2 linked regions of the Coturnix japonica genome follow. The protein of the gene in region 1 purifies or fractionates together with the protein of each later gene. This does not show direct contact. Links are inferred from orthologs where the notes say so. Each region holds a gene or a part of one and is shown on either strand. Other genes may lie near its edges. The genes, in order: RET and STAT3.

Region 1 (3,808 bases):
GGCAGTGCTGTTGTCCTTCATCATCTCTGTGCTGCTTTCTTCATATTTCATCCATCGCTACCACAAGAACTCTCCAAAACCACCTATTGCCTCTGCAGAAATGACATTCCGGCGCCCAGCCCAGTCATATCCCATCAGCTATTCTTCTACTAATGTCCGTCGCCCTTCTTTAGACTCCATGGAGAACCAGGTGTCTGTAGACACCTTTAAGATACCAGTAAGCCAGATTTAATTTTACTCACTTTCTCATATCTGCCTTGTCCATAAAGAATGTTGCTTACATGTGCAGAGAACAGTTTGGAAACGCAGTCCGTTAAGAGAAGCATCAAACTCAGATAACTAACACAGAAGTGATGAGTATGTGGATGGAACTCAAGATAGTAACTGAATAAAACATTTGATTTGCTCCACAAGGAAAGTATAGGCTTCTGGATTTGTTATGTTTTAATATAACATATCATTAGTTACAATTTTTAAAATAAATGTAATTTGATGTTATTAAAATAACATAATTGTTTAAATTGTTACATCTAACATAACATTGTTAAAATAATAGTCTAAATGTAAGTTAGTAATCAGCACCTTTGTAATCTCTGTGATGAGCCCCACTATCACAGCAGGGGTAAGATTAGGGAGAAAAAAGCAAAAAGGTTGAGGTGTGGTTTTGATTCTCTTACACCCACATGAACCTATATTCCATAGGTATCAGTTGGCATGGGAGACTTACCTACACTTTAAGAATGTTTGTCCAGTCAGATTGTCATGTCTTTACTCTGGTTTCTTCTGTGTTGGTAAATCACTTTCAAGATGCAGTAGAGAAACACTGCCATATTATATGATATGTGGCAGTACCAGATCCGTTTGAAGGTCGATGCTGAGGTGTTCACTCTGCTTACTGTCTAGTCTGTTGTGTACATCTGTCACCACCTTACAAATGTAAAGCTCAGTAATACTCGTTTCCTAAGAGGAGGACTATTGCGTCTGACGAACTCTTATTCTGCAAGTGAAATTGATGAACTTCTCTCTGCAGTCTATGATCACTTATTCATAGTTATTCTGAAAGCAAGCATTTATTTTTCATCACTTTGTTTCATGTGTGACTGTTTTCCAAGTCTTTTAAATATGATCTATCATCCACTGGCTTTTTGAAGGATGTAATTTAGAGGCAGTGATAAAAGATTTGCAAAACACTTACAGGTTCAGAAGTTTTCGGAGCAACGCACTCATTAATAACAAAGACCAACCAAAGCTGTACACCAAAGTGCACCCACTCCTGAAGAATCCTTTCCTGTTGACCATTCTGATGCACCTAGACACTCCTGTTTTGATCATTCTTATAGGGTTCCTTTTCTTTCCTGCAGGAAGATCCAAAGTGGGAATTCCCTCGGAAGAACCTGGTTCTAGGCAAGACTCTTGGAGAAGGAGAATTTGGAAAGGTTGTCAAGGCAACAGCTTTCAGACTCAAGGGAAGAGCTGGCTATACTACTGTGGCAGTGAAAATGCTAAAAGGTACCTTCCCCTCTGATTTTGAAATTATTGGAAGACTGTTGCAGCCTCTGCACTGATTTTAAAATGGGCTAATATGAAACTAAAAGGTCAGCTACCAACAGCCAGTGCCGTAGCCTCAATTTCTTCCAGAAGACTCTTTATTCTGACAGATTTCTGACTGCAGGGCAGCTGGCACCACACTGATACAAATAAGTGGCATCCACAGTCAGTTTTAATTCATGATTTTCAGGGGCTCTGTCTTAGCAGAGTGAATGCGTTTGTTTGGCATTACTGGAAATATTGCAAGGCTTTGCTAATGCTTCCTGATTTTCTTTTTACCTTTATGTGGTTCTCTTTAGCAGAGGTTTTAAAATAAATCACATTATAATCATGGCAAGAGAAAATAGGCCTGTTAAGTTATTTACTTTCCAAATTAAGAATTCTGTCTACTTTCTGATCTGCTTTTCAATTACAAAGTGAATCTCCCTACCCGGATATAATAGCCTAGTGCTTTCTTCTGGTGTCTTCATAAAACATTAAAGCTCGGGAAAATTGTATGCCTAGGTTTGGCTGAGATAGTAACGTGAGACACTGAGCTCTTGACTCCATCTCTTTGTAGCAGTCTTCAGCCCCACATATACCTATTTCTTTCCCATGTAAAAAAAAAAAAAAAAAGAAAAGAAATTACACTGAAAGAAAAACATGAAGAATGTATTTTGCTTGTTTGGTCTATGAAGTAGGAAGTCTTCGATATTATTGTATTTTGCAGCTAGAAGCTGAATCCATGGCTTGTAAACCACAGCTTTTACCACTTCTGGACCTGATTTCTAATGCTAAATAACAGCATTGCTAAATATAAAATGATGGGGAAAGAGGTCATTGGAAATGCTTAAACATGTTTCTTAGTCGTTTATTCACCAGAGACCGAGGGCTGAAGCAGATAATAAAGCTGTAGTTTGTAGTCCTTTTCTGTAGTTTGGTGTACTGAAACATATAAATGCACGTAGCCCCTACACAACAGGCACCTAGGAACACATGGGACAAAGACGGAAAACAAGAACCTTCGGAAAGGCTTACGGATAGAAGACACTTCCTTTAGCAGGACAGATAGTTTTAGCTGAATATACATACAAGTCCATCTTCTGCTTCTGGAGAGCAAAGATGCTGCATATTCCATCATTTTACCAAAGGAGTAAATGCATTATGCAGCACTTCCCTGCATTCCTGCAAGAGGTTTAGAGGAGATTAATCATGTGTATAAAATAAGTAAGTCTGTTCAGAATTGAAGACCAGTCAAGCAGTTCTTGCAGCATTCAGGTAACAACCTGTGTATTGCTATAAGTGGGTTTTTCTTAGTCATTATTTCTTTTCATACTCATTTGTGCACTGTCACTGATTTTCTAGCGCCTTGTCATCAGCGACATGTGACTGAGTTAAGATTTCAAGACATAGTGGTAGAAACGTTGCTTTTACTTGCAGATGATTTAACATTCAGTTTTCCCTAGCTATTAAGTGCAGAACTGACAGTAGGATGGAGTAGCCCTTTATTTTAAGCACCTTATTTAAATAAACTGATCTGACATTTACAGTAATGCTTCAGGCTCTAATGAATCCCTTTGTAATGTAAAGTACTTTGCACATAGTCACTTGAAATTTCGTTTTCCTGCCTTATTGTGGAGAACATTTGTCATTACTGGAAATATTTATCTTTTGATGTTTTAGCTTTCCTCAAGTATAAGAAAAATTGCATTAGCTCCAATCACTCTATAAAGTGCTGCCAGGAATACAGGACCCTTAATTTGGATCAGACCAACATCGTCCATTCCTTCCCTGTTATATACAACAGAACTAGCTTTATGCCCATTTGCAAAGGGTTATTCATCCTAGCATTAGGGACTCTGTGTTGTCTGATCTTTAACCAGTAAGTTAGTAGAGAAGACCTCCTGCTTTTCCCTTTAGGGAGTTCACAACTGTAAGCTGCCCAATAATAATACTCTGAAGAGTAGAGATAGAGATTCAGTGTTACAGTGACATTGAAGAGGAGCTAGACAAAAGGAAATCACTGACCTGTGGTGTCTTTATGAATGATATTTCCTTCAAAACTCAGAGTGTTCAAAGAGAAGGACTGTATGAAGAATTCTGCAAAAATAAAATGCTTTAAAGGCTAGGAAGACGTGCATGTTGTCGCACTACTGCCACTAACATCAGCAAAGTCTGTGTATATGACTGCCTGTAAAATACAGGCCATACATTTAACTTCTGAACTCCAAAATGTGTGCTGCAAATGTAAGCCGGTAGATAGGTAGATTTTTTAGTTCAT
Region 2 (4,449 bases), on another chromosome or scaffold:
CATGGCAGGCAAAGGCTTCTCTTTCTGGGTCTGGCTGGACAACATCATTGACTTGGTGAAAAAATACATCCTGGCACTGTGGAATGAAGGGTGAGTCTCAGCTGTTGTCAGTCTGATGACCCTTGGTTGTGGACCCAGGAGTCCTGTCCTTGTGGAGGCAGTACCTTGTTCCAGGTGCAGCTGAGCTCTCCTGGAATGCTTCTTCTGTCCAGGCCCTGATGGTTCAGAATGAAAACACTTGGGACTCCCCAGACAATCCCCAAAACTCTGGCTCTGCGGTGGCCAGCCAAGGCCCTGCTGCTGCCTGTCAGTGTACAGAGAACTGCCAGGATTCATGCTCTGGAATACCTGCCCCCATGTCCTGACCAAGCCTTGTTCCCTGCACCCAGGTACATCATGGGGTTCATCAGCAAGGAGCGGGAGCGAGCCATCCTGAGCACCAAACCTCCAGGAACCTTCCTCCTGCGCTTCAGTGAGAGCAGCAAGGAGGGCGGCATCACCTTCACATGGGTGGAGAAGGACATCAGTGGTACGTTGCTCTCCACCTCTGCCCTGGGTGTGCTGTTTTTCTCAGCCAGCCTTCCTGGCTCCAAAGTGGGATTTGGACCATGGCTTCATTCCCCTAATGAGGCATTTGTGCTTGTCGTCATGGCTCTTGTCCCTGGTTAAGTCTTTGAGCCTGGGCATCTTTTTCTGGTCCCTGCATCCTGACTGCCCCCACCCACATGCACTGAAGCAGGTCTGTCCTGCCATGTGCTCTGCTAGGCGCCTCGTGAGGTTAAGCACAACCCCAGGTGACTTTGTCCCATCTGGGGAGCTTGAGAAATGTCCCTGCCTTTGCCCTAGGACTGCAGGTGTCTTGCCCTGTGTCTAAAGTCTTCTCATACAGGAAAGACTCAGATCCAGTCTGTGGAACCTTACACCAAACAACAGCTGAACAGCATGTCATTTGCGGAAATCATCATGGGCTACAAAATCATGGATGCCACCAACATTCTGGTGTCTCCCCTGGTGTATCTGTACCCCGACATCCCAAAAGAGGAGGCATTTGGGAAGTACTGCCGCTCTGAGAGCCAGGAACACTCAGAAGCCACTGACTCAGGTAGTCGTTGATTTTCTGCGTCCCAGCACAGCTCCTGCCTGTGGAATGGCTGCAGGGACAGCACTCTGATGGAAAACTGCATCCATTAGGGGATCCCGTGTTGGTCATAGGATGGCCTAGGGACCCTGTGGGTGTGGGCAGTGCACAAAGGCTGTCTGCAGGGCTGTGAGGAGGGGAGTGGGGTTCCTCCACCTGCAGATGGTGACCAGGCTGTGCTCTCATTCAGGTGCTGCTCCATACCTGAAGACAAAGTTCATCTGTGTCACCCCGTAAGTGTTCCTGGAGGTATCTGTAAGCTCGGGGGAACATTCACAAGCTCAGCCTTGCCACAAACGCTTTGTCTGTATCGGGGGAGGGGACGGGGACTGCAGTGGAGCTGAGCCAGGTGGCAGTGTGCTGCCCACACTACTGCTGGGCCGCTCTCCCTTCGAGGGCCCCTTTGCCTTCCAGAGGGCTCCCAGCTGCCTGCACTGTGCCCTGGGGCCCGCTGGAGGGGCCGGAGGTGTCTGCTCTGGCCGGGCTCTGATGCTTTTTCCTCTTTCTGACAGCACCTCTTTCAGCAATACCATTGACCTGCCCATGTCTCCACGCACCCTTGACTCCCTCATGCAGTTTGGCAATGGTAGCGAGGGAGCGGAGGCCAACGCAGGAGGCCAGTTTGGTGAGTCTGGTGGGACCCAGCGCCCAAAGGTGTCCTGGTGATAGCAGGACCCCGGGTCAGGGCGCAGCCCCTGTAACTCCTGCCTGCGTTTTGCACAGAGTCGCTGACCTTCGACATGGAGCTGACCCAGGAGTGTGCTTCTTCACCAATGTGACACGCTGTGCTGGCACCTGCAGGACCCACGTGGCTCCAAATCCTTCTTGGTCACATTTGCTCTGGGCCTTTTCTTGAGAGGAGCTGGGGGCTGTGATCCTTGCCACCGACTCCTTGTTTTACCCAGACGAACAGACACTCTGTGCTGTGGTGCTGTTCGCCTCTTTGGGGGGAAGGGGTTGAACCTTTTTCTATTTCCTTCCATAACAGTTTTTTATTATTGTTTTGCTCATTCAAGTGCCTATTAGCCTCCGATTGCAGCCTCAGTTTTTACCAATGCTTCTGCAGCCCCTGCCGTGCTGCCTGCTGTTGAAAGCTGCTTTCTTGACTGCCAGTGTCTGGAAATCCACAGTCCAGTGAGTCTGGATCTGAGAGGGTATCGGCCAGACCCAGTCTCCCTGCGGGTGATCTGTGCTGTGCAGCAGCTGCCCAGCAGCCATTAGAACCTACAGAGGAATCTCATCTCTGTTTTCCCTTTGTCCCACTTGTGGCCCAGAGGGTGTGAGTGGCTCTGTGCTGCAGGGTGGAGGAACACAAGGGTGATGTGGAGGGCTTTGCTGTGCTCTGCCAGGAGCAGGGAGTGTCAGTGCTTAGTGCTGCCTTCCTGCTGTGGGCAGAGACCACGGTTCCAGCAGCCCTGAGCTCCACGTCTTTCCCTGTGCTGTAGTGGGGAAGGGCAGGGAGGCATCCTGGCAGCAGTGTGTGCTTGTGAGCACACATCTACATCTTGGGTCCTTCCTAGGACCAGGAGGCTGCTCCTGACCCTCGGTGGCCCCTTGGCCAGACTTGTGACAGGAGCAAAGTGAGACCTTTCAGAGCAGGGGAGCAGGGGCTGCTGCTGTCCAGTCTGCCCTGCAGTGGGTGTCCAGGCTCTGTAGTACAGTGTGCGATGTTCCAGGCAGTGGGTTTGCAGCTTCTCAGGCGCTTTGTGTGGCACTTTGTTGGAGGTTGGCTGTCAGTGTTAAGTTAGGAGGTGATAAGGGTTGAAGGAAGGAAGGTGGATGAAGGGAGAGGAATCTGCCTGAGGGGCAGCAGCAGGTATAGGTGCACTGATGCTGCAGGCAGTAAGACTCCTTACGCTGGAGGTCAGGGAAGGTTGGGAGCTGTGCTGACTAATGGTTGTTCGGTATTTACCCAAGTGTAGGGAGCCCTCCTGCCCTTTCCAGGCGTGGGTTTCTGTTCCATCCCTGAGCAAAAATGGGAGGGAGCGGCAGCGTGAGGGTCGTGTGCTTCCCCAGAGCAGCAGGAATCTCCATGCAGTGAGGTGGGAGCATGGGGCAGGGCCCAGCAGCTGTGGGTAACACCAGCAGAGAAACTTCTGGGCTCCGGCACAGGGCTGTAATGGTTCTGGTGCTCTGGCTAGAGATGCTCTGTTTGTACCCATAGCAATGCTGTGGTGCAGGGGGTCCCTGTCCATCAGCTGTGCAGAGAGTCAAGGCAGTGCCAAAGGCAGCATCATTCCCCTGTGCCCCCTCGCTGTGGGCTGGGGGCAGCCCCTGGGCAGCACCGGACACGGTGTGAGGGCAGGGCAGGGGTCTCGGGGCTGCCCATAGATGCAGAACGGTGGCCCCCTGCAGTCAGTGGGCGCTCAGAGGGCACAAGGTCTGTTGCTCGTCCCTGTGCTGATGTGTCGCTGCCTCTGGCTGCCGTCAATGGCGCCCCTGGGCCACATTCAAAACCGTACAAATTTTTATGTTTTTGTATATTTTATTGCTGTATCTACAGGCTTTGACTCCAAAATAAAGGCTCTAAAGCGGCCCCGTCTCCCATTCGTCTCCCTCAGCTCCGGGAACCGACCCCTCCGTGAGCGCCGTGGTTTGCGTGGGCAGCTGTGAGCGCGGGGTCCCGGCTGCGCCAACGTGGGGCACAAGCGGCGCGTGGCTGCGCTCTGCTTGCGTCAAGGAAACCTCGGTGCCAGCGTGGGAGGCCGGGACGGGGCCGGGACCCTTTGGGGCCTTGTGCTGGGGGGGGGGGTGGCAGCCGGCCTGGGGATACGGCGGAGCGCATGGGCTGCTCCCCAGGATGGGGGTCGGGCAGAGGGGGCGTCCCCCTCTTTGTGTCCGCAGCGTTGGCTGCAGGGGCGGCTGCTTTGGGGACGGCCGGGGCTACGGCTGCAGCGTGGGGCTGCCCTGCCCCCTCGTGGGGATGCGCTGGAGTGGGCAGCGAGCGCTGCTGCATCAAACGCTGCGCGGGCTGCAGCCCGAGCTGAGCCCCAGCACAGCAGCATTGCGGCTCCCCGGGCTGTGCAGCGCTGTGCAATGCAGGAGCAGGATGGGAAGGTGCAGGCAGGAGATGGCAGATACACCGGCACTTGTATTCCCACCACCTGTGGCCCTCAGTGGAGCAGAGGTGGATGCAGCAGCAGAATGAATGCAGAGTTTGGTCTCAGGTGCGGCCCAGAGGGAAGGATTATTGCGCTGTGAGGATTAGCAGGGGATTTTTCATGCAGGTCATGCTCAGTAAATCCCCCAATCCCCTCCGGGCTCCTTCAAGATGCTGGAGATGCCCTTATTGCCTGTGTGCTCCCTGCTCT

The links.
Region 2: the proteins of RET (region 1) and STAT3 purify together in Homo sapiens (affinity purification with western blotting; 3 studies listed by BioGRID and IntAct, with this or other methods). This does not show direct contact. The link is inferred for Coturnix japonica from reciprocal best matches to the Homo sapiens genes RET and STAT3.

Annotation. Positions count from the first base shown.
Region 1 is NC_029521.1:3,896,992-3,900,799, reverse strand, and holds part of RET (proto-oncogene tyrosine-protein kinase receptor Ret), read left to right. Parts: coding exon 1-217; intron 218-1,361; coding exon 1,362-1,509; intron 1,510-3,808. UniProt on the Homo sapiens protein: Receptor tyrosine-protein kinase involved in numerous cellular mechanisms including cell proliferation, neuronal navigation, cell migration, and cell differentiation in response to glia cell line-derived growth family factors (GDNF, NRTN, ARTN, PSPN and GDF15).
Region 2 is NC_029542.1:4,508,145-4,512,593, reverse strand, and holds the end of STAT3 (signal transducer and activator of transcription 3), read left to right. Parts: coding exon 1-90; intron 91-389; coding exon 390-529; intron 530-889; coding exon 890-1,105; intron 1,106-1,328; coding exon 1,329-1,371; coding exon of another isoform or gene 1,372-1,375; intron 1,376-1,650; coding exon 1,651-1,763; intron 1,764-1,861; coding exon 1,862-1,917; 3' UTR 1,918-3,673; downstream 3,674-4,449. UniProt on the Homo sapiens protein: Signal transducer and transcription activator that mediates cellular responses to interleukins, KITLG/SCF, LEP and other growth factors. Once activated, recruits coactivators, such as NCOA1 or MED1, to the promoter region of the target gene.